Sus scrofa: one gene and its partners. The protein of the gene in region 6 purifies or fractionates together with the protein of the main gene of each other region. This does not show direct contact. Links are inferred from orthologs where the notes say so. Each region holds a gene or a part of one and is shown on either strand. Other genes may lie near its edges. The genes, in order: TOP3A, ZUFSP, RFC2, POLA1, HLTF, RPA1 and RFC1.

Region 1 (3,500 bases), about 12 Mb from region 6:
GAAGCGAAGCAGCTTCTCGAACGGGTCCGTCCCTCGTTGCGTGCGGCCCGGGGGTGGTGAGCCGACGGCCCTTGGACCCGCCGCCTCTCTTTCCGCAGTGAAGCCCGACCTGCCGGTGCTGCGAGCCCGTTTCTCCGAGATCACCTCCCGGGCCGTCCAGGCGGCCTGTGAGAACCTCACGGAGCCTGACCAGCGAGTGAGCGACGCCGTGGACGTGAGGCAGGAGCTGGACCTGCGCATCGGTGAGGGGCAGCGGGCTGGCGGGGGGCGCGGGCTGGGGCGTGGACCGTGTCGCTGGATGTGACCGCACCGCCCACCCCTCCTCCCAGGAGCCGCCTTCACCAGGTTCCAGACGCTGCGGCTGCAGAAGGTCTTTCCCGAGGTGCTGGCAGAGCAGCTCGTCAGCTACGGCAGCTGCCAGTTCCCGACGCTGGGCTTCGTGGTGGAGAGGTTCAAAGCCATTCAGGCCTTTGTGCCCGAGGTCTTCCACAAGATCCGAGGTGAGGCGGCCCTTTGTGCAGGGCGTGGGGCCGGGGCGTCCCGGGGCTGACTCAGAGGGCGGCTTGAGTCTCGCTGCCTCTCGGCCCCTCGTCTCCACGTTCAGAGCCCGGGGGGGCTCCCGGGTCGCAGTCACTGGCTCTGACCCTGCCGGACCTCCTCGTCCCCCCGCAGTGACGCACGACCACAGGGACGGCGTGGTGGAGTTCAGCTGGAAGCGGCACCGTCTCTTCAGCCACACGGCTTGTCTCGTCCTCTACCAGCTGTGCATGGAGGTAGGAGGGCTCGGGGCCCACCCCCCCCGAGTCCGCAGCCTCGCCCTCGCTGGCGGCGGGGGGACCCGTCCCTCTCTGAACTGAGCTTTCAGTTTCATCCTGGGTCGTCCCTTGGGCACCAGTCAGACTAGAGCCCCAGGAAAACAGCACTGAAGGTGGGGAAGAAAGGCCTCTGGGACTTCAGGCAGAACCAGAAACACTAGGAAACGTGTGGCTAAGATCCTGCCCGGAGCAGCAGCGCACGCCCACCGGGGGTGGGGAAGGGCCCGCCAGGCCCTTCTAGACCCGGGCTCGGAGCTGGAGGGAGGCTAGACTCCCTCTCCCGCTGGGCGGATGTCGGCTCCGGCCACGTGGACGGCTTCCTGCAGCGGCTGTGTCTGGAAAGGAGGCTGAGGGAGCCGGGGGGCGGGGGCGGGGTGGGCCTGCTCAAGGGCCGGGGACGCAGAAGGGCGCCCCGGCTGACCTGGCAGAGCCCAGCAGGAGGCGGCCACGGAGGGATGAAGGCCTTCGGCCACAGGCCAGCATCTGGTTTCCCCGCAGGCGGCCTGCTTTGCGGTGCTGGTCCGTCACTTTGCTTGTTGCAGCCTGTTTGACCCAGGGCTGTGCACGGCGGGTCCTGACGCACTCAGAGGTGTGTCGTCAGGAGCCCCGGCGGGTCCACTGTGGAGCTGGGGGTGGGCATTGAGCGCCTGCTCCGTGCTGTGCACTGTGTGTTCTGTCTCATCTGCCCCAGGTCGGGGGTGGGGGGGCGACCCATTTTACAGGTGGGGACGCTGGAGACGGTGGAGTGTGGAGTGAGCACAGACACACCGGAGCTCGTGGGGGGCCTCTCGGGAGGCACCCTGTCTCCCCCGCTCTGCCCTGTAACCTGGAGGGTCACACGGCCTGCCTGTTGGTGACCCTGCCGGAGCTGTCTGTCCTGTAACCAGGCCCGCCCTTTGTGTCCTTTGCTGGGATGCGGTGCAGGAGGGCGTGGCTGGGGGACACCTGGAGCTCCTGGCCGGGGCTCCGTCCCCAGTCTGCTTGTGGGGGGGAGATTAGGGTTCTGACGTATAAACCCCTCCATGAGCACATCACCTAAGCTGAGCCCCGCCCATGTGTGTTCTCTCCAAAATGTGAGGAGCTTGGGCTTTTTTCTTTTTGCTTTCTAGGGGTGCACCTGCAGCCCATGGAAGTTCCCAGGCTAGAGGTCCAGTCAGAGCTACAGCTGCTGGCCTACCCCACAGCCACAGCAACGCAGGATCTGAGCGCGTCTGCGACCTGCACCACAGCTCACAGCCACGCCGGATCCTTAACCCACTAAGTGAGGCCAGGGATTGAACCCACAACCTCATGGTTCCTCGTCTGATTGATTTCTACTGTGCCATGACGGGAACTCCTGAGGTTGGTCTTAAGATTAGGGTTCTTCAGTTGTATTATGTAACTTCTGTTTCTAACCCGTATTATTGGATTTAAAACGAAAAATCAGGAGCTCCCATTGTAGCTCCGTGGTAACAAACCCAACTACTATCCATGAGGACTCGGGTTCGATCCCTGGCCTTGCTCAGTGGGTTAAGAATCCGGTGTTGCCCTGAGCTGTGGTGTAGGTCGCAGATATGGCTCAGATCCTGCGTTGCTGGGGCTGTGGTGTAGGCTGGCAGCTCCAGCCCTGATTTGACCCATAGCCTGGGAACCTCCATATGCCACAAGTATGGCCCTGAAAAAAATAAACGAATGAATTAAAAAAACAAAGCCGTGACAGTGAGCAGGTGTAGGTGAGAAGCCACACTTAAGGGGCGCCTGGCTCCAGACAAGGAGCTTTGGGGCTTTTGTGAACTTGCTTTGACCGGGAAGGCAGCACTGGCGTCCGACACCCACCGGGCTCGAGGCCGTCACCCCGGGTGGGAGCAGGGCCTCTGGGGCAGTGCTGCGGGCAGTGCTGGGAGCAGGGCCCCTGCGGGCCATGTGGGGGGCGGTTGCAAGCAAGCCGGGGAGATGCTCCAGCAGGTCCCAGCGGCGCCTGCGTGTTTGGCTTTTCCAGGACCCCAGGGCGACCGTGGTGGAGGTCAGGTCCAAGGCAAGGAGCAAGTGGAGGCCTCAGGCTTTGGACACTGTGGTATGTTCGGGGCCGTGCGGCCGGGGCTGATGTCGTGGTTGGGACTGGCTTTCCGGGTGTCAGGAGGCGTCACTTCTCAGTGCGACACGAGAACGCGCTTGGGAAAAAGAGATGCTGAAGCCCAGGCTGCTGGCCTCTTAGTTACCTCACGACTTCGGGAAACGTGGAGACAAAGCAGCCGTCACTTGCTGTCCTTAGGTCGTTGCTGATGGGGTGGGTGGCTCCCCGGGATCCTTGTTTTTACAGCGTCAGAATTGGAATGGCTAGTTCTTCCCACCCAGGCATCTTTTAAAAATGTTTTTGTTAGAGGTCCCCTCGTGGCTCAGGGGTTAACAATCTGACCAGGAACCATGGGGTTTCGGGTTCGATCCCTGGCCTCGCTCAGTGGGTTAAGGATCCGGCATTGCCATGAGCTGGGGTGTAGGTCACAGACAAGGCTCGGATCTGGTGTTGCTGTGACTGGTGTAGGCTGGCAGCTACAGCTCTGATTTGACTCCTAGCCTGGGAACCTCCATGTGCCGCGGCAGCGGTCCAAGAAATGGCAAAAAGACAAAAAAAAAAAAAAAAAAAAAAAAGTTTTTGTGTAATTTACGTAAATATCACTTAAACAGCCACTATGTGAGCCTCCCCTA
Region 2 (2,438 bases), on a different chromosome or scaffold from region 6:
CTGAGGCTAAAGATAGTAACCATTATAGTTTGGGTGTATTTGGAGACTTTCTGACCAGGAGGGACAAGGATAAGATATGTGTGCTGTATTGTAAAGTGAAGAATAAAGCTTTTAATTGCTTTACCTTATACTAAACCTTTTCAAAATTGTTGCTGAAAAGTGTAAATAGTGCTTCTGGTTAAAATAATTTGGTTTATTCACAGTTGACTTCCTTTTGAGAAAACAATACCATCATGGTCTATTGCCAAATAGAAGATAGATGTATAGATGCAGGTACATAAAGATTTTTTTCTATGGTCTTTATGGGTAGTCTTTTCTTGTCTATTATTAGATAAGAAATTTTAGAGAGCTGGCAGGAAAAATATTTAGGATATTTTTGATAGCTTCAAATGATTATCGAGGAATTATAATTAGAATTCAGTTTCTAATTGATCATCTGGTTTAGAGACTTTAGAATAAAATTAAAGATTATATGTACACTTTTGAAAATCAAGTATGATCTCATTTACTACTAACATAGATTTTCTTTTTTTTTTTGCTTTTTGCCTTTTCTAGGGCTGCACCTGGGGCATATGGAGGTTTCCAGGCTAGGAGTCTAATTGGAGCTGTAGCCGCTGGCCTATGCCACAGCCACAGCAATTCAGGATCCGAGCCGCATCTGCAACCTACACCACAGCTCCTGGCAACACCAGATCCTTAACTCACTGAGCAAGGCCAGGGATCGAACCCACAACCTCATTGTTCCTAGTCGGATTCGTTAACCATTGTGCCACGATGGGAACTCCTACTACTAATATAGATTTTATATGTCAGGAAATTTTTATAACTTGTGTCAGTCATCAACCTTATTAATTTATTTAAACTATTTTCTCATGAAATAAGTTTTTCAGATAAAAGAATTTTTATTTTCTTTCTTCTTACAAAAATAATACTGAGATAAAATTAATCCTAAATTAGGGATTTGTTGTGTGACTCCACTGATGAAAATGTTTTTTTTTTTTAATATTTTCTAAGTAACCCCTTTTGTCAATTTTTTATAGGTGTCGTATTATTGACTTTCACAAGTCGACTGGTCCTTTGGGTACACACCCTCGCTTATTTGAATGGATATTGAACTATTATTCTTCAGAGAGGGAGGGGAGTCCAAAAGTAGTGTGTACATCTAAACCTCCTATTTATCTTCAGCATCAAGGTTAGTATAACTTACAGATATTAAGTGTAACTTACAAGACAGTATCTTTATAAGACAATTAATTGGCTTAAGCCTCAGAATAGGTTAGGATTCTAATGAGAGGAGAGGAGTATTATGACATCACTTTGATTTTTAGTTATATTGTCATTACAGTACATTCCAGTAATGGATGGTATCCTTGGCGTCTTCGGGGCCCCCTGGTCCACTTGGTTCACTCTTCTTTTATTGTTCATCCCTTACCTTTTTCAGGTCTTTACCTTACTTCAATGAGGTCTTCCCTAACCGCCTTTGTAAAAATTTCTTCTCATTATCCTTTCACCCTGTAGCACTGGCATGTCCTATCCCTCTTCTTTACTTTATTTTTCTTCATCTAACATTATAAGTATAAGCCTCACTTACCCTGTTTATAAAATATTTCTTCTTTGTTTGTTTTTTTGTTTTTTAGGGCCGCATCTGTGGTATATGGAAGTTCCCAGGCTGGGGTTGAATCAGAGTTGCAGCTGCCAGCCTACACCACAGCCATAGCAACACAGGATCCGAGCCTTGTCTGTGACCTATACCACAGCTCATGGCAAACGAGATCCTTAACCCACTGAGCGGGCCAGGCATCGAACCTGCATCCTCATGGATACTAGTAGGGTTTGTCACCTGCAGAGCCACAACAGAACTCCTAGAGTGTTTCTTCTTATTAGAATATAAGCTCTATGAAGGCAGAAGTATTTGTTTGGTTTACATCTATACTACTAATGGCCTGGAGTAGGGCCTGGCATATGGATATTTGATATATCTTGTTGAATGAATTATTTGGATTGACAGGAATAAGAAGTAAATGTTAGGAATTTCATTGTTTTGGAATACAAGCTATAAAGGTTAAGCCCTTGCCATTGAAATTCTAGTATATATAAATTTACTCTTGTTTACCTTTTGTTGTCCAGTAGGTAAATTTCAAATCCTTTCATTTGAGATCATTTGAATTAGAAGGACTAAGGGATTTGAAGAGCAAAACTAAAATATATGGCATAGTAGAAGTAGAATTTTTTTTGCTATGAAGCCTTTAGAAAACTAAAATTGGACAAGGGAAAACTGAAGGTTAGAAAGTGGAACTAAACTCTTGTGTCTTAGAACTGGAAAAGCTCAGATAACCTATATGTCAGAGGGACTGACTATATTTATATTCTAAATACACATTTGCACACACACTATATACGGAAAGTTTATAGTATGTCTATATGTGTGTGTGTGTGTG
Region 3 (3,500 bases), on a different chromosome or scaffold from region 6:
TGCCTTCTCAACCCCAGCCCAGCTCCAACCCTCAGCCGCCCAACTCCGATAGCAGACTCTGGGGGGCGGGGGTTGCTTGTGCCTTTGCTTGGCTTCCTTCAGGCCGAGTACCCTGTCCCCGGTTTCATGTGAGGTCTGGCCCTGTCCTAAACCCAGTCAACTCCTAGCTTAGTTTGGTGGCGGGAGGGGGAGGGCATGGGCTGTGATCAGACCAACAGCCCCAGATCACAGCACTGCCGCCCACGGGGACTGGAGCATCACCTGAACCCCAAAAATGCCCACTGGAATCGGCTCACCAGACCAGGCTCTGGGGCCAGAGCGCCCATTCCCAGGCTCTTCAGGAAGAGAGAGGGCTCTATTAATCTTTTTTTAAGCTGTGCCTGCTGCGTGCAGATGTTCCCCAGGCCAGGGATGCAAGTATATTAAGTTTAAGCAGTGGGATTTAGAGCATGGGGTCTGGCCTCTGAGTCTGTTTTCTGACCTGCAGAGCGTGCCCAGCGCCCAGCCTCATTTAGGAATGCAGTGGAGGAGTTCCCGTCATGACTCGGTGGAAACGAATCTGACTAGTATCCATGAGGATGCAGGTTCAACCCCTGGCCTCATTCAGTGGGTTAAGGATCTGGCGTGAGCTGTGGTGTAGGTCACAGATACGGCTTGGATCCTCTGTTGCTGTGGTGTAGACTGGCAGCTACAGCTCCGATTCGACCGCTGGCCTGGGAGCCTCCATATGCCTCAAGTGCAGCCCTAAAAAGACAAAAACAAAAAGCAATGCAGTGGAGCTAGGTCCCCAGCACAGGGAGCACCCCCGCTGCCCTGCTCAGGGAGGAGGGGGACCGACCTTGTAGGCCTCATCGATGTTGGCGCTCACGCAGTGCTGGATCATCTCCTTCACCAGCAAGGGGTGGGGCTCGTCGCAGACCTGGCCAGACGGAACAGAAAGGCTGGTCAGGGGCTGCGGGGGACCATCTGAGGGCGAGCCCTGGCAGACCCACGTCTGGGCAACCTATGTGGCCAACTGCACTGGCTGTTTGCCTTGAGTTCTCCGGCCAAGAGAACTGGTTTTGGGAACACCTCTCTCAACACCAAGTTGTCACCAAAGAGAGTTCGGTGGAGACCTGCTGCAGAGAGGACAAGCCTCCGAGAGCATCATTACAGATTTCTCAAGTGCAAAATGGAGTAAGAGCCAGCGAGGAGTCTACACCACAGGGGCAGCTTTTTTTTTTTTTTTTTTTTTTTTTTTTTTGTCTTTTTGCTATTTCTTGGGCCGCTCCCGCGGCATATGGAGATTCCCAGGCTAGGGGTCCAATCGGAGCTGTAGCCACCCGCCTACACCAGAGCCACAGCAACGCGGGATCTGAGCCGCGTCTGCAACCTACACCACAGCTCACAGCAACGCCAGATCGTTAACCTACTGGGCAAGGGCAGGGACCGAACCCGCAACCTCATGGTTCCTAGTCTGGATTCGTTAACCACTGTGCCATGACGGGAACTCCAGGGGCAGCTTTAAAGTCGTGAGTTGCTTAGAGCACTGGGAGTATCACTCACCCAGTGGGTTCTGAGACTCCACTTAAGAACTGGGAGGTTTGGGGGGCAATCTCCCTCCTGGAATAGAAACTAGCTTTGTCCTGGGTGGGCCCCAGCCTTAGTGTGATCTCGAGGCCAGTTTCCTCTGCTGCAAAATGTTAAGAACACCTGCGTGGAGGGAGGTCATGAGGACCCAAGAGGACAGAGGGCACCGGGCCTGCTGCAGGGGCGGGGGCACATCCCTCGGCTAAGTCCCTCCCACTCCCCGGGGGGCGGGGCAGAGTAGCTCCCTGAGCCCCTCCCTGGGGCGGGCCCCGCAGCCCACCTGGCTCCGCCCCCCAGGCCGACACTGGCCCTGTGGACAGTGAGGCCCGCACAGCCTTTACCTTGAACACATTCTCACTGTTGATGAAGCCAAATCCCGAGAAAGTAGACTGCAAGTTGTTCAAGGCCTGCCAAGGAACAGAAGCACGCAAGGGTGACCTTCGACCTCTGTCCTCCCCGTCTCCCTTTCTGGGGTTCAGGCCGGGCTCCCTACCAACGTGTTGGGTCTGTGGTCCCGTCTGGCTACACTCCTCTCCGTGCAGCAGTCACTACCCTCTCCCCCATCTAAACCAGGGGAGTGGCCAGCCTGAGGGCGCCGAGCCGGGGTGGGGGCACGAACCTGCCTCATGTCGCCCTGGGCGGTGAAGATGATGGCTTCCAAGCCGTCATCCGTGTACGGCACCTTCTCCTTCTCGATGACGTTCAGCAGCCTGGCAAGAATCTGGGCGTCGGTCAGCTTGGTGTAGCGGAGGACGGCACACCGGGACTGGATGGGCTCTGGATAAGATGGGGGAGAGTCAGGCTTCCCGGGCCAAGGCTGGCGTAACCCTGTTGGTCCTTTAGTTACTGGGGAGCAGGTGCACGAACCATGCGGCCCAGCCATGCTGGCACCACTCCCCCAACCTGGCAGAGACTTAAGCGTGACCTGGTCATCAGGGCTAAATTTCTTTTTTTTTTTTTTGTCTTTTGTCTTGTTGTTGTTGTTGCTATTTCTTGGGCCGCTCCCGCGGCATATGGAGGTTCCCGGGCTAGGGGTTGAATCGGAGCTGTAGCCACCGGCCTACGCCAGAGCCACAGCAACTCGGGATCCGAGCCGCGTTTGCAACCTACACCACAGCTCAGGGCAACGCCGGATCGTTAACCCGCTGAGCAAGGGCAGGGACTGAACCCGCAACCTCATGGTTCCTAGTCGGATTCGTTAACCACTGCGCCATGACGGGAACTCTAGGGCTAAATTTCAAAATACCAACCAATAGAGGCCTCAGCCAGCACTGCCCAGGCTGACCCTGGCTGGCAATGGCTTCCCAAAGGAGAAAAGATCCGCCAGATAGAGAGAGCCACATGCCACAGCCCACAGGAGGGTCAGTGCCGGCCCGGCCAGACCTCAGAATCACTGCATGTGTGTACAGCTGGCCCTTCTGGGCAGGTCACAACCCAGCCGGCCTAGAACAGGGCACCTTCAGGGCTTAAGGTCCCACGGGAGGCTCTGATACCCCTGAGAACTACAGACAGACGAATGCAGAATTCTGGAAGCTGTCTCTGACCTTCGGTTCAGACCGACAAGTGTCTTCAAGTCCTGGGGGAGGAGGGGGGTCCCCCCGAGACCCTGTTCTGCCCCGCTGGCCTTCCTCAGGATGTTTTGTCGCCTCTGCCCGCCCAGAGGTATCACCTTCAACCGCCTCCGACATCACAGTACAGTCCACCTCTGATCCTCCTTCACAAAATTTCCCTGGAACCTCACCCACCTCCACTCTCCTAACCCTGCCAGGGCCTCCCGAACACCTGACCTGCACTCTCCTGGCGGATCTCCCCAAGCTTCTTCCCGTTTAAGTAACTCCGCACTGAAGTGACCGCCCCTTCTCTGCGCGCACACACTTTCAAGGGACATGTTCCTGTGAGTTTATGTGCCTTGAAGAAACCTGCAGTCACCT
Region 4 (3,500 bases), on a different chromosome or scaffold from region 6:
ATTCACTCTTCGCTCTCCTGTCCAACTTTCCTTCTGCATTGGCTTCCTCTCGCTGTCTGAATACACCTTGCATTTTCATCCCTTTGTGCTTTGCCTCATGCCTTTTCCTTTGCTTGTGCCGCTTGTCGCTCTGTATTCTGATGGTGAAATTCTGTGTTGGAAACCTCCCCTGTGAAGCTTTCTCTGATTTCCCAGGCAACATTAATGGCTTTCTTTTCTGCTTCCTTAATACCAGGTTCTTACCTCTTACATGGTACCATCTTTATACGATGGTGGGAGCCTCAGGCCTTTATGCTTTCCTTGACTGGGAGTCCCTTGAGGACCAGCAGCTCTGTCTTACTTGTCATTGTACCCCAAACCCTTAGACTGGCACATTGTTGCCTGTGGAGTAAGTCTTTTTGAAGACCTGTAGAATAATTTTGTCAGAATAATCTGATAAAAGAGTCCAGGGCGTCTTGAGGGAATACCCTGAGGCCAACTTTTCCCTCTCAGTGGTCTTGTTCAGTAATCTCCTGGAGCCTTTTTGTGTCAGCCTGCTTATAATTTTTTGAAATCATTTGAGTGACACCCAAGATTTTGTGGCTGTCAGCATTAAGTACCTGCATTCTTTAATTTTTACTTAATGCCTTTCTGAAAATGGATTTAAAAGTCAAATGTGAAAGTCAAACAATAGGCTGAGATGTTACAAAGAGATTCCATTTCCAGAAAGCTAGGGAAAAAAATAGGATCTCTAATTATGCCACACCTTTAAGATATGGTTTTCAACAGTTTATTGCCAGCATTTGGTACATGTCTGTAAATTGCATCTTCTATTTCATTCAAACACTTAGTCAAACAGCTTCATGTTGTTATGAACGTTCCAGTGGGGTTGGAGCTTTTAGGATGCCTGTTATCAATACTTCCCCTTTTCTGTGCTCTTTTTTTTTTATAAAATAATAGCACCAAGTACAATAAGACACTCAATTTCAGACTTATGTGCCAGTCGTGGTGAGCATCAACTCATGGCTGCCAGGCGGCACTGTCTTGCTTGACTTGATTTTTCGCCAGCTGGTATGTGAAAGTCTCCATTCTGTGGATGAAATCTTTTCAGTATGTGTTTATGATGATCAAAAGCATGAATAATTCAAAAGTTGAATGAATGACCACTGAGGCCCTCGGGTACTTCACTAATTTTCCACAAAAGATTTTAATCTTTGTAATTTTTTTTTTTTTTTTTTTTGGCCATGCCAATAGCATGTGGAAGATCCCAGGCCAGGGATCAAACCCAAGCCACGGCAGTGACAACACCTGGATCCTAAACCCACTGTGCCACAAGAGAACTTCTTGATCTTTGTAATTTTTGACTGTCATGCTCTAATGTCGCAGCCAACTGCTCGAAGCCTGGAAATCAGTGGTAGAATCAAGAATCTCCTCAGAGCCATCTTCGTTACATTCTCCTGATTTATCCTTCCTTTGAAATTCTAGACATTTTATCTGAACCTCTTGTTAGGGTATGCTTTACTTCTAAAAATTGTTTTAGAGTTAGTTGCTACTTACTGGCTTACCTTGTTTTATGGTGCTTTGCTTTATTGCAGTTCACAGATACTGTGGTTTTTTTTTTTTTTTTAAACAAATTGAAGATTGTGGCGCCTCCGCATGAAGCAAGTCTACTGGCGCCATTTTCACATTGATGTTTGCTTATTACTTCATTTGTCTGTATCGAATTTTGGTAATTCTCACATTTCAGATTTGTCATTATTTGTTAGAGTGGTCTGTGATCAGTGATCTTTCATGTTACTACAAGTCACCGAAGGCTCAAATGATGATGAGCATTTTTTAGCAACAAAGTATTTTTAATGGAGGTATATACTTTTTTTTAATGACATAAGGCTTTTGCACACATAATAGACTCCAGTATAGTGTAAACATAACATTTATATGCACTGGGAAACCAAAAAAAAAAAAGAAAAAGAAAAAGAAATTCGTGTGACTCACTTTATTGCTATCGCGACACTCACCTTATTGGTGGTGGTCTAGGACCCGAACTTGCCTTTGTGTCTTGCAGAGCGCCTGGTACTTTGCAAAGAGAGGGTGCTCCTTAAAGCCTTTCAAATGTTTATTGATGGAATACAAAATGAATTGTCCTCTTATAGCTACTTATGGGCTATCATCACCAGTGGAAAGGTTACTGATCTCCCTTCTTTAGTGTCTCCAGGGAATATCAGTTGAATTTGGAGTTTTTCTCTTTTTGGAGGACAAAAATAACAGTTGTTGCTTCAGCTGAAAATTTCTGAGGAGCCATGGGAACTGGAGATTCAGTCCTGAGCTTGTAAATTATTTACACCGGAAAAAGTATACATTTGTGTAACATGAACATTGTATACTACATGAACATTGTATATTACTATTGGCTAAAAACTATTGCTTTGTTTTTGAGGGAAGATGGCTGACAGTTTTGTAACATCTCATGCAAATTTGGCTTTTCTACAGCTATGTCAGATTCAGGGAGTCTTGCAGCTTCGCGATCCCGGCGAGAGAAGAAATCCAAGAAAGGGCGACAGGAAGCTCTAGAAAGACTGAAAAGGGCTAAAGCTGGTGAGAAGTATAAATATGAAGTAAGTAACCATTTTTCTTTTTTTTTTCACTTGTAGTTCATCTGTTTCATAGCCTGTAGCTAATCCTTTGTCCACTTTGTCACTCATTAGAAATATGCATTTATTTCAGACTTCTTATAACAGTAATTTTTAAATACTGAGCACATATGGGCATGAAGTAGATTTAGATGATGGGTGATTACTCAACCCTTAGAGTTCCTGTGAGACACTTTACAGATGCTTTTAAAATTTAGAAATTTGGAGTTCCTCTTGTGGCTCAGTGGTAAGGAACCTGGCTAGTATCCACGAGGATTCGGGTTTGGTCCCTCGCCTTGCTCAGTGGGTTAAGGATCCAGCATTGCCATGAGGTGTGGTGTAGGTCGCAGACTTGGCTCAGATCCTGAGTTGCTGTGGCTGTGGTGTAGGCTGGCAGTTACAGTTCTGATTTGGCCCCTAGCTTGGGAACTTCCACATGCCTTGGGTGTGGCCCTAAAAAGACAAAAAAAAAAAAATCTGGAATTAAAGTAACTATATATTTTTCATTTTTAAGCACACTGCATCTCTGCTAAGTTCCATAGCTTTGTTGGGGGAACTTAGAGATGCCTTTACTTTACTCACAAGGTATTGAACAGTCTAGCTGAGCTCTGCTTCTTCTTAGAGAGAATTATTCTTCCTCATCTCTTATGCGTGGGGAGCGTGGGAGGACTGGACCTTCCCTCTGCTGTGTACTGCGTGTAGGATAGAATGTGATGACCTTTTGGCTCTTTCCCTCTACCCATTGTTAATGGGCTGCAGGTAAAAAAAGCAGAGTGGGAGTTCCCGTCGTGGCTCAGTGGTTAACGAATCCAACTAGGAACCATGAGGTTGTGGGTTGATCCCTGGCCTCACTCAGTGGGTTAAGGATCCAGCGTTGCTGTGAGCTGTGGT
Region 5 (4,215 bases), on a different chromosome or scaffold from region 6:
AAAATTAATTATAAAAAGGCATTTGTAAACAATCAAGATAAGTTATTATGGATTAGTTATTAGGTGTAATAGAAACTAGTATTATTTTGTTAAATATAACAATGAGAAAGAAAATTTCTAAATTTTTTAGGTACACACTTAAATGTTGTAAAGTGATGCAGCTGGAATTTTTAGTACCAAAGAAAAAGAAAGTGATGAGCAAATGTGCAAAAAACTTGTCTAACTGCTGAATATGGATCATAAGTATATGAAAATTCATTGTATCATTCTAATTCTATGCATGTTTGAAATTTTTCATAATTAAAAAAAAAAAGTAGGAGTTCTCGTTGTGGTGCACTGGAAATGAATCTGACTAGGAACCATGAGGTTGCGGGTTCAGTCCCTAGCCTCATTCAGTGGGTTAAGGATCTGGCGCTGCTGTGAACTGTGGCATAGGTCGCAGACGTGGCTCCGATCTGGGCTTTGCTGTGGCTGTGTAGTAGGCCAGCAGCTACAACTCTCATTCGACCCCTAGCCTGGAACCACCATATGCTGCAGGTGCCCTAAAAGACGAATAAATAAATAAATAAATAAATAAAAATAAAAGTAGATATATCATCCAAATAACACAGAGCATACTAGACAACCATAACAAAGACAACTGCTTTCTCTTTGTCTCTGTTTTCTCTCTCTCACATACACAGAGCAGAAAACAGAGATACAGAAACATAAACGCAGGAAGAAAAATTGGAAATAGTTTTACTATAGAAAGGAAAAAAAGACCTAAAAGTAGACAATTCTCTTGTCTAGTACTTCCTACATTAAAAATACTAAAATGTAAAAATGTGCTGAAGGATAGGAAAGGAGAAAGCAAGAGACTTGGAAGTTATTTTGCAAATTTACCACATAGTATCTGTACTTTCTATGCAAATCATTTAACCATCCTGAGCTACCTTTACTCAGTTCTAGAAAGGGATAATAGATGTCCTACTACCTCAGAGACACTCTAGTGATCAAATGAGACCATACAGGAAACAGTGCTTTGTATATTGTGACCATGATATAAATGTAAAAGAATGTAAGTAATTAGGTATTTGTTATCTCTTCCCTAGATATATTTCAATTACTTAAATTAAGATATTTACTGCACATATCACCTTCTCACTCTTATTTTCTACATTAATAGATGACATCATATAAACTTAGTATCTAATATTATACTCACTACTCCTGTGTAATAGCGTAGTCCAACTACATGACCTCTCAAAGTACCAAATAAAACTGAATCTAGCTCTTCATCACTCGTTAGGAAGTCATCTGGAGGAATAATATCTTGGAATTCAAAACGTGGAAAGAAAGTTGGATATGAGAGGCGTGGAAAATTTCCATGGACTCCATACTGGACAGTTTGCAAGTACTTCCAAACAGGATCTCTTAAAACAAAACAAAACAAAAACAAAAAACAGGAAAACAATACAATATTTAACCAAATATTTCTCAAAGACTATACCACACTTAAAGGCCAATTGTTTTCTCACACTTCATTTCAAAAAATTAAATCTCATGTGGGAAGGGCTATATGAAGATTAATATATATAGTTCCTCTGGTTAAAGCAGGGATTAAAGTGAGTACAGGTTTCTAGAAACCCTACCTACCTGTTCAATAATGTCTCTTCTGCCCACAGGTACTCAAAGTGAAAACCCCAATAAGGGTTCACAAACCTCTTTCCTAGTGATGATCACCTATTTAAAGTAAAATGTGTGTGATGTCTGCAAATAATTATATGCCAAAATTTCAATAGAGAATGAGCTGGAAGAGACTTGCAAATAAAGGACTATCTATACATGAAGCCATTTATAACTTTACAAGTAATACATCCAACATCCATTACGTGAATTCTCCTCGAAGAGACCCCGCATTTTATTCAGGTATCCAAACCATGTCACAATGGGAAGCTGACATCAAGCCTCCCCTCCCTTGGTTTAAGGGTAACCTCAATTCCCCCATAGATAATTGGAGAGCTGTTTCTGGAACGGGTATGTAACCCAATTTGGACAATGAAGAGAGGAAGCCGGAGAGGGGGCTTTCAGGAAGCTTCTATTATCCTAAGAACGGACTGACGCTATTTCCCCAGCGCTTGGCTTGCACGTCGCGCATACTGCTTCTGGCTCCCCTGCAGATAGATATTTGCACGTCTGTGCACGCACATCAACGGTGAGCTCCTTGAGGATACGGGCTGTCTTATCCGGCCCTTTCTGCCGAGCACAATGCCGAGGGCACAGTGGGTATCTGATGAGTGTCTTGCAGGTCACAATCCCGGCCTAAGAGTGTGGCTTTGAGCCAGGCCCCCTTACAGCCCTTGACAGAAATTTCCCCAAGCCCTGGCATGAGATTCGCCTGAGGAGCCTCCCCTCGCCAGTCAAAACTGTGCATTTCTTTCTCCCGCAGCTATTAAAAGCCGCCAGCAGGACGAACACTGGCTGCACAGCTCGCACGGGTAACGCGAAGGAAACGCGGGGAAGGTCAGGTTCATCTAGGGACGCCGCCAGGCCGTTACCCCCGGTGCCCAACCCCCTCCGCCCCCTTCACCTCTTAAACATCCAGGACATGGCGCTGGGTGGGTGACGAGGGGAACGCTTGGGCGCCCGGGATCGTTCTCGAGCGGCCTCGATAAGTCTCCTTCCAGGGCCCGCGGCCGAGAAGCCGGGGACAGGTTTCTAGAGCCGCGAGCAAGAGCGCACTCCAGAAAGGTGAGACGCCGGGAGCCTAGTCAGACGTCGACGCCGACCCCTTCCAGCAACAATCTGAGAGACAAGTGACGCTTTGTGACTGGCACCGCCTACCTCCAATCCCGAGGAGGAGTTTACGCAGACGAACCAATCAGGGCACGGAGGGGTGGGCAGCTCCGCCCCGCGCAGCGATTCAAAGACTTGGGGGGCTGTCCCCGCTGCAGGGGCGGTTCCATCCGGGTTCTCCCTCAACCCCAAGCTAGTCGCGCGGGAAAGCCACGCGGCCCCAGCAGGCGGACTACGGTGCTTACGGTGTTCGCGTTTCTGATTGATTCCCCGCCTCAAGCAGAGGGCGACCACTGTCTTTTGCACTGTTTCCCTCAAGCCCTAAGCCTCAGCCCCATTCTTCAGGCTCTACCTCAGCCTACCTCGAATTTTCTCTTCATCTGATGTGACATATAGTAGGGTATTCCACTGAATAAGCTCCCGGCTTTAAGAGCCCTGGAGCTACCAACGAGATCCTGTCCTTCATCTTCTGTGGTGAACCCGTGTAGTTGCCCTTAAAATGTGCATTTTAAACCCCGCTAGCTAACCAATGAGACAGACCGGCCTCAGAGAGCATAATTGCAGTTTCGATTTATGGAGTCCCTACCCCCCACCTCTTTTTTAAGAGAAATTTTTCATTCTACTAGAGGAAAGCCATAAAATGAGATGACAGCACAAGAGCTTTATTGGTGACTGCTGGAAGTGGCCAAGTTTCCCCTGGGGGTAAGCTGCTGTCCCTGCGGGGCAGGAAGAAGTTGGTTTTCCGTGGGGAACTGTAGGGGGCACTCCCAAGGGCTCTGTCGCCCTCTTTTGAGAGTCTGAGGAGACTCAGGAGAATTCGGCTTTGAGTGGGTGGGCGAGTGGGCCGGCTGCAGCGCAGGCGCTGTCAGGGCTGGTTCTCTGTCCCCTGGGAGCCTTTTAACTTGTGCAGCAGCAGCCCTAGGGTAACAAGCTGGTGGTGGCCCTGACCTGTGCTTTGGACTTGATATAACTGTAACACAACTGCTTGTGGACCAAAGAGGAAATGTATTTGAGAAAGGGGTTAGTGTTGACCCGTGCCCTTCGAAGAGTGGTCCATTTTACACGTCCATCAGCAGGGTATGACAGGCAGTCAATGAAACAGTTTTTCAAGAGGCATTTGTTGATTAACTTAAACTATCACAATCTGTAAATATGAACCTACAGTAGAATGAGAAAAGAAACTTGCAGCAACTTATTCATTTCACTAAATAGAAGGAAGATGAAGAGAATGGCATTTCAAATTATTTTAGTTATTTTACTTTCTTCTGGAAGTAGTATGAGGCAAAAGGCAATATTGTTCAGTTTTTGATGTGCCAGATCTAAATAACCGATCTATTGGAAAATACGGCAGTAAATGCCTAAATTGAAAATGATTTATGTGTAAAGTTAATAAATTATGTTCGTCAGACTGAAAGATAAAATTGCAAATGTACCAATATA
Region 6 (3,500 bases):
CATTAAAGATCCAAGGATGATGGCTAAAGCCCTATTTGGAAGAAACCTGGTTGTTCACAGGCAGGTTCTCAGCAGGGGTAGGAAGGAACACAGCACATCAGCGTGCAGAGGTGGTGGAAGAAGGCAAAGCCTACGAGAGGGGAATTCCACCCATGACTAGAGAGAAAGGGGCCCGAGTTTCTGCACTCAACTCCAGCAAAGCTTTCCTCTCCCATAACCATGCCCTAGAGGACAGAAAAGAGGATAGAAAGCACCACTTGAGCTCTCCAAGGCATCCTGGAGTGGAAGATAACAGGTCCCAAGTGGGGAGGTTGGCAAGGAGACATACCCAGCCTAGACGATGTCAGAGCAAATATGAAGTCTAGCTGGAACTGCCCACATTAAACAAGAACACGATAAAAAGAAATGACGCAGCAACAATGCCAGCACACCACAGTGTATAAAAATAAAAGGCAGAGACAATTAAGAATCCAATCTAGAAGAAAGCATTAGCCAAGAAAGGGAATACGTCCCAATCACAGCTTGCCAAATAAGACTAAGAATTCAATAAAAGTCAAAAGATGAAATGAAATGAGATTGAGAAGAAAAGGGAGCTTGAGACATTAAGGAAAAAAGAGAAGAAAAGCAGTATCATTACACATCTAATCCTTAAACTATAAAAACCCAAGGAACAGGGAGTTCCCGTCGTGGCGCAGTGGTTAACGAATCCGACTAGGAACCATGAGGTTGCGGGTTCAGTCCCTGCCCTTGCTCAGTGGGTTAAGGATCCGGCGTCGCAGTGAGCTGTGGTGTAGGTTGCAGACGCGGCTCAGATCCCGCGTTGCTGTGGCTCTGGCGTAGGCTGGTGGCTACAGCTCCGATTCAACCCCTAGCCTGGGAACCTCCATATGCCGAGGGAGCGGCCCAAGAAATAGCAGCAACAACAACAACAAAAAAAGACAAAAAGACAAAATAAATAAATAAATAAATAAAAACCCAAGGAACAGAACAGAGGAAGCTAAAAACCGAACAATACAATATGTTGGACAATCTTAAATTAATCCAGCGCATACACTAGAAAAGAGAGCAAACCGAAGACATCTATGAAGAGCAAAGGTATCCACCACATAAGCAGAAACTGGAACTCACGTGAAAGAAAATGAACTGAAAAGGAAGGCCGGTGATCAAAGAGGCAAAAGTGAGCGAATAAACAATGAGTAAATCTAAATGAGCACAGACTATATAAGAGAAGGTGCTAATTGGGGGGAGTAAAAACAAAACTGAAGGAAAATACTGAGCACAGACCCTGTTAAGGCCTTTGCTTTATTTGGGAGGATGGTAAAAATACTATTTTTGTAATTTTGTTAATTCCAATATGGATTTTTTTTTTTTAAATGTTGAGAGTAATCACAAAGAAAACACATAGAACATGCAACTTTTAAAAGAGTAGAGGAAAAAAGAATTAAGGCAATGCAATCAATCAAAGGAGGAAAAGACAATGAAAGTATAGCGAGACTATGGCAAGACCAAAAAATTGGGGCGGGGGGTGGGGTGGGGGAGATCCGTAATAAATAAAGCAGAATAAACTCACCCACTAAATCTCAGATGGAGTTCTAAAACTCAACGCTGTTTATAAAAAACATCCAAGATGAACAACAGCGAGGTTAAAAGTTTCAAAAGAACAATGATACATCAAACAAATACAAGCAGAAAAAGTGAATGTACATCTAACGTAACATACATCGATACCCTCATGAAGATGGGCGTGCTGGCCGCACTGGCTGCTCACCTGTTTGGGTTGTGTTTCATAACTCAATCAAAAGCTCGAGGGGAAAAAGTGAAAAGTAAAGCCTCTCCCCAACAAAGAATGTCATATTTCAGCAGTGGCTGCTCAGGTGTGATTAACAGTTCTCGTCACCCCTGTATCTCTAACATGTAGCCTCTTGTAGGTACTCAGCATACTCTCTACTGGCCGAAGAAAGCCTTTGCTATGAAAGATTCAGGACTGCAAAAAAGGGGCAGTGTTACATCATTATCTCTTTTTGCTCTAATAAGTGACCTCTTTTTATCAAAAGGTACTTTAAGAGAGAATCTAAAACCAGTGCTGCTGAAGAGACTAGAAATAAGAGTTCCGCATTCGGCTTTAGTTTTCTGCCCAGGTTGGTTCCATTTCTTTCCTCTTGAGGCGTGCCTGGTTGTTGGTAGCCTGAGTTCCTAATTCAATAGCTAAAAATTCTTAGCTAAAGCCCACCACTGCCTTTTTGATTCCTAATCGAATTTGGGCATTGAATGAACCTCTCTGTTCACAAATTGGTCCCCATTTTAACAACGCGGCAGGAAAAAAACCTACCACATACCTTCCATCTTTCAAGGTGTTCACAATAAATCGGTTAATCTGGCAAATACAGTTGCTAGACAATCGTTCTTCCTCAACAAGAGGATTCAGCTGTGTCGCCAACATGAAAGCTGCAAAGCACAGAGATTACTTTAGTCGCGAAAACATTTCCGTTGTGACAAAAGCTGGTGACACCTGTACCAGCAAAGAAAAACAATGCCTGAAACATGTTCCTGAAATTAAACCCCCAGATTCTGCACATGAAAAAGGGCATCCATTTCCTGCGCATTAAACATCTGCTACTACTCTGAAATTCAGTTATTTCCTAAAGTGCCCCAAATCACCTTTTCCAGCATTCAGGTTGCATGACGAAGCCTCATCTTTTTTCTAGGTTCTTCACCTTGTGACTAGAGAGAGCAAGCATATATTCTGCAAATTTTCTTTCTCCCTGTAAAGCTTCCAACATACAAATAAAACCCCAGAAAGACAAGTATAGGACAGCTAACCCATCATATTCACTAAATGTCAATATCGTCCTGAGGGAAATTAATCAAAGAAAACACAGAGCACCAGTTAGAGAAAATTAATTAAGCCAAGTGGCAGCTTTCCACTGGACCCAGTCTATTGCTCGAACGCTCTCTGCCAGCCGCAATTCTGCCTGTGTGAAGGCAGAGCCAAGCAAGTGCAGACTTCTGGAATGCTCTAATTACGGCAATCTAAGTGTTGGGTGTGCTTATATTATTTACATACAAATTCCCAGATTTACGCATTATACGTACAGGACAGCGTATTCAATCCATCACTCATAAGCAGTCGATAACGGGGTGGATTGTTCCCTGTGGTAATGGGACGGATGTTCTAGGAGAGAAAACACGCATTAGCCAGGCTGCCTGCCCAGTCCCCAGGGACGAGTAAACCTAAGCGGCAGGAGAGTGGGTTTGCCATTAGCGCAACAAAAACTGAACTGCTTGCCCATTCTCTTGACACCTAAATCCAAGGGAAAGAAAATTGGACGTGATGATTCTCCCACCAACCTCTTCTCCAAGAACACTGTTAAACGCAGCAGAGACGAGAATAAGTTGCCAATATTGTTGTATTCTCTCTCCCCTGACACAAATCTGACTGAAAATCAATTTTTAAAAAACACACAAGGCACATAATGTATGCAAGGAACGTGGAGGGAACA
Region 7 (3,500 bases), on a different chromosome or scaffold from region 6:
TAGGAACCATGAGGTTGCAGGTTCGGACCCTGCCCTTGCTCAGTGGGTTAACGATCCGGCATTGCCGTGAGCTGTGGTGTAGGTTGCAGACGCGGCTCGGATCCCGAGTTGCTGTGGCTCTGGTGTAGGCCGGTGGCTACAGCTCTGAGATTGGACCCCTAGCCTGGGAACCTCCATATGCCATGGGAGCGGCCCAAGAAATGGCAAAAAGACCAAAAAAAAAAAAAAAAAAAAAAAGAATCCAACTGCAGTACCTCAGGTCACTGCAGAGGCTCAGGTTCAATCCCTAACCTAGCACCACGGTGAGTTAAAGGATCTGGCATTGCTGCAGCTATGGTGTAAGTCACAGTTGTGGCTCAGATTCAAACCCTGGCCTAGAAACTTCCATATGCTGCGGGTATGTGCACTTTAAAAAATAAAAGAAGAATTAATGCTTTAGAGAGTATTTTCACACATTAAGCTTATCCTGTGTTTAACATTATTCCTTTAGGACAAATTCTAATGGGTATAATTACTGGGTATGAAATAAAAATGAACACTTTTAATACATAAAAGATTCTTTAAAAGAAAAGCAAAACTTCCAGAAGTCCCTCACTTGTTAATCAGGTCAATAATACTCTATCAATATGCAAAACTCAAGAACAAATAACACTCCTAATTTCAAAACTCTTTATTGTTTAAAAGGTATCAACCTAAATAAAAGGTCTGATATAAAGCTGCCTCTTTAGCACAGAAGAAGACAGAAAATCAGAATTTATGTATCAGAAAAGCAGCTCCTGACCTGATTTCCTCAAGGATGAGCTACTTGGTAACAATTTGGGAAAGCCAGGAATGACAAAAAAAGAAATGGATACTTAAGGCAAAACAGGGCAAATGAAACTTTTGACTCACCATCTTAGTTATGACTAAAATCTAACATTCCCATTTCCTTATGTCCATTTACATAAAAACATTCAAAAATAAAGAATGTTAAGAAATGGGGAGTTCCCATTGTGGGTCAGCAGGTTAAGAACCCAGCACAGTGTTGGTGAGGATGCGGGTTCAATCCCTGGACTTGCTCAGCGGGATAATGATGTGGAGGTGCTGCAAGCCGTAGCATAGGTCTCAGATGCAGCTCAGATCTGGGGTTGTCTGTGACTGTAGCAGCTCTGATTCAACCCCTAGCCTGGGAATTTCCATATGCTACAGGTGCAATTGTAAAAAAAGATAAACAAAAACAAAACAAAACAAACAAAAAAGTCAACAGTGACCACAAGGTATTTTAATCTCTAACAGAATTTTTGCCTATAAGGTTTATCTGATACTTCAAATAATTACAGGAGCTAAAACCTATCTTGTTGTAACTAAAGCAGGGTCTGTGCTCTAAGGAGAGCCCTGTGCTTACCTGTGTGGGCAGAAGGCTCCAGTTTTGCTTATTGCGGATCTGACGGTCCACTAGGTCACCATCACAAATGCTGTCTGCTGCTCTGCTTAAAAGCATCAGGTGCTTTTTCATGTCACCTCTGCAGGAATAAACCAGTCTGGATTACACTACTGTCCACACTCCACACCCCTCCCTCCCAGGTATCTGGCCTTTGCAAGGTTGGGAGGGTACTAATTCTACCCCTCACTAGCTCTGAACACTCACCCTGCAGCTACAGGCTTCACGTGAATGTAGTTCTCCTGGACAAAGAGCGGTGCTATTGAATAATCATGGAAAAAGAGATCCGACTTGTCCATAAGTGACATATGAGCAGTCTCCTCTCCAGTTACAAACACCTTTCGGGCAACATCAAATGGGCCCTAAAAAGAGAGAGGGACATACTAGTAAAATGGCCAGTATCCAAACACTGACACCACCAAATGACAGCTAAGCTGTGGAGCAACCGAAACTCTCTGTCGTTGCTGGTAAGAATGCAAGATGGTATAGTCACTTTGGAAGACAAATTGATAGTTTCTTACAAAACTAAATATAATTTTACTGTACCATCTCATGACTGTGCTCCTTGGTATTTATCCAAATGAACTGAAAACATATACACACAAAAAACCTGCACCTGAATGTTTATAGCAGCTTTACTGAAAACTGCCAAAATTTGGAAGCAATCAGATGCCCTTCAATAGGTGAATGAATGGATAAACTGTGGTACATCCAGACATGGGACCATTACTCAGCACTACAAAGAAATGAGTTATAAAGCCATGAAAAGATATGGAGAAACTTTAAGTGTATATTATTATGTGAAAAAAGCCAATCAGAAGAAGCAACATACAGGATTCTAAATATGTGACATTCTTAAAAAGGTGAAACTATGGAGACAGTTAAAAAAAAAAAAAAAAAAAAAAAAACAGTGGTTTCCAGGGGCTGGCGGAAGAACAGGCAAAGCAAAGAGGATTTCTAGGGCAGTGAAAGTGTTCTATATGATACTACAACAGTGAAACATGCCATTACACATGTATATTTCAACACCTAGAGAATGTACGACCAAGAGCAAACCCTAATGTTCAACTATGGACTCTGGGTTATGGTGATGATGTGTCAGTGTGGGTTCATCAGTTGTGACAGATGTACCACTCTGATGGAGGATGTTGGTAGTGGGGAATACTATTCTACTGGCGATAGGAGATATACAGGAAATATCAACTTTGCTATGAACCTAAAACAACTCTAAAAACGTTTACTGATTTTTTAAAAAGAGGGAGGGGGGGGAACACTGTTTAATCATTGCTCTAATGGCAATGAGGAATTCTGACTGGTGACTAGGTGAAACAGAACACAGAAATAATATGGACCTTTACTCTAGCTTCAGGGAGTCATTAAACTATAAACCATTTGAAACAAGATTATTCTGAACAGCTACAAAGCACTCAAAACATGAAATCTATACATAAGGGATTCTAGAAAGGCCATTATATAACTACGAAGGCATGAGCATGATTTAAACTGTCCCTTTCTCAAAATTTACAATTACATTGACAGTCCTTAAGAAAAAAGTCACTTGAATCAAAAATACTTTTAGCAGCTGTCAAAAATCTCTTGCTGAAGTTCCCATCGTGACTCAGTGGTTAACGAATCCGACTAGGAACCATGAGGTTGTGGGTTCCCTGGCCTTGCTCAGTGGGTTGAGGATCTGGCGTTGCTGTGGCTCTGGCATAGGCTGGTGGCTACAGCTCTGATTAGACCCCTAGCCTGGGAACCTCCATATACCGTGGGTGCAGCCCTAGAAAAGACAAAAACACCCCCCACACACAAAAAAAACCTCTTGCTATAAATATCCATAGGTGTCTCAAGGAACTATGATAACTATTTTTATTAATACTGACAGGAGGAGAAGTGCTTTGGTTAAGGAACTAAGAAACGGAAATTTACTTTACCAGTTTGATATCCTTTTTGGCTCTGTGAGAATCAGCCTTAGCCTGGTCATAGGTTAGTGCCTTACTTCGTGCACACCACATACTCAGATTATGTAAAACCTAAAAGAATCACAAGTAAGACACTGTCAAAGATAGGGAAATACTGC

The links.
Region 1: the proteins of RPA1 (region 6) and TOP3A purify together in Homo sapiens (affinity purification with mass spectrometry; 4 studies listed by BioGRID and IntAct, with this or other methods). This does not show direct contact. The link is inferred for Sus scrofa from reciprocal best matches to the Homo sapiens genes RPA1 and TOP3A.
Region 2: the proteins of RPA1 (region 6) and ZUFSP purify together in Homo sapiens (affinity purification with western blotting; 4 studies listed by BioGRID, with this or other methods). This does not show direct contact. The link is inferred for Sus scrofa from reciprocal best matches to the Homo sapiens genes RPA1 and ZUP1.
Region 3: the proteins of RPA1 (region 6) and RFC2 purify together in Homo sapiens (affinity purification with mass spectrometry, with the first as the bait; 3 studies listed by BioGRID). This does not show direct contact. The link is inferred for Sus scrofa from reciprocal best matches to the Homo sapiens genes RPA1 and RFC2.
Region 4: the proteins of RPA1 (region 6) and POLA1 purify together in Homo sapiens (affinity purification with mass spectrometry; 3 studies listed by BioGRID and IntAct, with this or other methods). This does not show direct contact. The link is inferred for Sus scrofa from reciprocal best matches to the Homo sapiens genes RPA1 and POLA1.
Region 5: the proteins of RPA1 (region 6) and HLTF purify together in Homo sapiens (affinity purification with mass spectrometry, with the first as the bait; 4 studies listed by BioGRID). This does not show direct contact. The link is inferred for Sus scrofa from reciprocal best matches to the Homo sapiens genes RPA1 and HLTF.
Region 7: the proteins of RPA1 (region 6) and RFC1 purify together in Homo sapiens (affinity purification with mass spectrometry; 3 studies listed by BioGRID, with this or other methods). This does not show direct contact. The link is inferred for Sus scrofa from reciprocal best matches to the Homo sapiens genes RPA1 and RFC1.

What each region holds. Positions count from the first base shown.
Region 1 is NC_010454.4:60,454,183-60,457,682, forward strand, and holds part of TOP3A (DNA topoisomerase 3-alpha), read left to right. Parts: intron 1-98; coding exon 99-242; intron 243-329; coding exon 330-500; intron 501-672; coding exon 673-773; intron 774-2,793; coding exon 2,794-2,868; intron 2,869-3,500. UniProt on the Homo sapiens protein: Releases the supercoiling and torsional tension of DNA introduced during the DNA replication and transcription by transiently cleaving and rejoining one strand of the DNA duplex.
Region 2 is NC_010443.5:44,956,942-44,959,379, forward strand, and holds part of ZUFSP (zinc finger with UFM1-specific peptidase domain protein), read left to right. Parts: intron 1-1,040; coding exon 1,041-1,192; intron 1,193-2,438. UniProt on the Homo sapiens protein: Deubiquitinase with endodeubiquitinase activity that specifically interacts with and cleaves 'Lys-63'-linked long polyubiquitin chains. Shows only weak activity against 'Lys-11' and 'Lys-48'-linked chains.
Region 3 is NC_010445.4:11,375,691-11,379,190, forward strand, and holds part of RFC2 (replication factor C subunit 2), read right to left. Parts: intron 2,347-3,500; coding exon 2,189-2,346; intron 1,977-2,188; coding exon 1,911-1,976; intron 920-1,910; coding exon 839-919; intron 1-838.
Region 4 is NC_010461.5:20,759,674-20,763,173, forward strand, and holds part of POLA1 (DNA polymerase alpha catalytic subunit), read left to right. Parts: intron 1-2,469; coding exon 2,470-2,594; intron 2,595-3,500. UniProt on the Homo sapiens protein: Catalytic subunit of the DNA polymerase alpha complex (also known as the alpha DNA polymerase-primase complex) which plays an essential role in the initiation of DNA synthesis.
Region 5 is NC_010455.5:89,330,215-89,334,429, forward strand, and holds the start of HLTF (helicase-like transcription factor), read right to left. Parts: upstream 2,801-4,215; 5' UTR 2,590-2,800; coding exon 2,570-2,589; intron 1,413-2,569; coding exon 1,205-1,412; intron 1-1,204. UniProt on the Homo sapiens protein: Has both helicase and E3 ubiquitin ligase activities. Possesses intrinsic ATP-dependent nucleosome-remodeling activity; This activity may be required for transcriptional activation or repression of specific target promoters.
Region 6 is NC_010454.4:48,016,152-48,019,651, reverse strand, and holds part of RPA1 (replication protein A 70 kDa DNA-binding subunit), read right to left. Parts: intron 3,173-3,500; coding exon 3,094-3,172; intron 2,446-3,093; coding exon 2,337-2,445; intron 1-2,336. UniProt on the Homo sapiens protein: As part of the heterotrimeric replication protein A complex (RPA/RP-A), binds and stabilizes single-stranded DNA intermediates that form during DNA replication or upon DNA stress.
Region 7 is NC_010450.4:30,562,933-30,566,432, forward strand, and holds part of RFC1 (replication factor C subunit 1), read right to left. Parts: intron 3,454-3,500; coding exon 3,355-3,453; intron 1,783-3,354; coding exon 1,628-1,782; intron 1,503-1,627; coding exon 1,385-1,502; intron 1-1,384. UniProt on the Homo sapiens protein: Subunit of the replication factor C (RFC) complex which acts during elongation of primed DNA templates by DNA polymerases delta and epsilon, and is necessary for ATP-dependent loading of proliferating cell nuclear antigen (PCNA) onto primed DNA.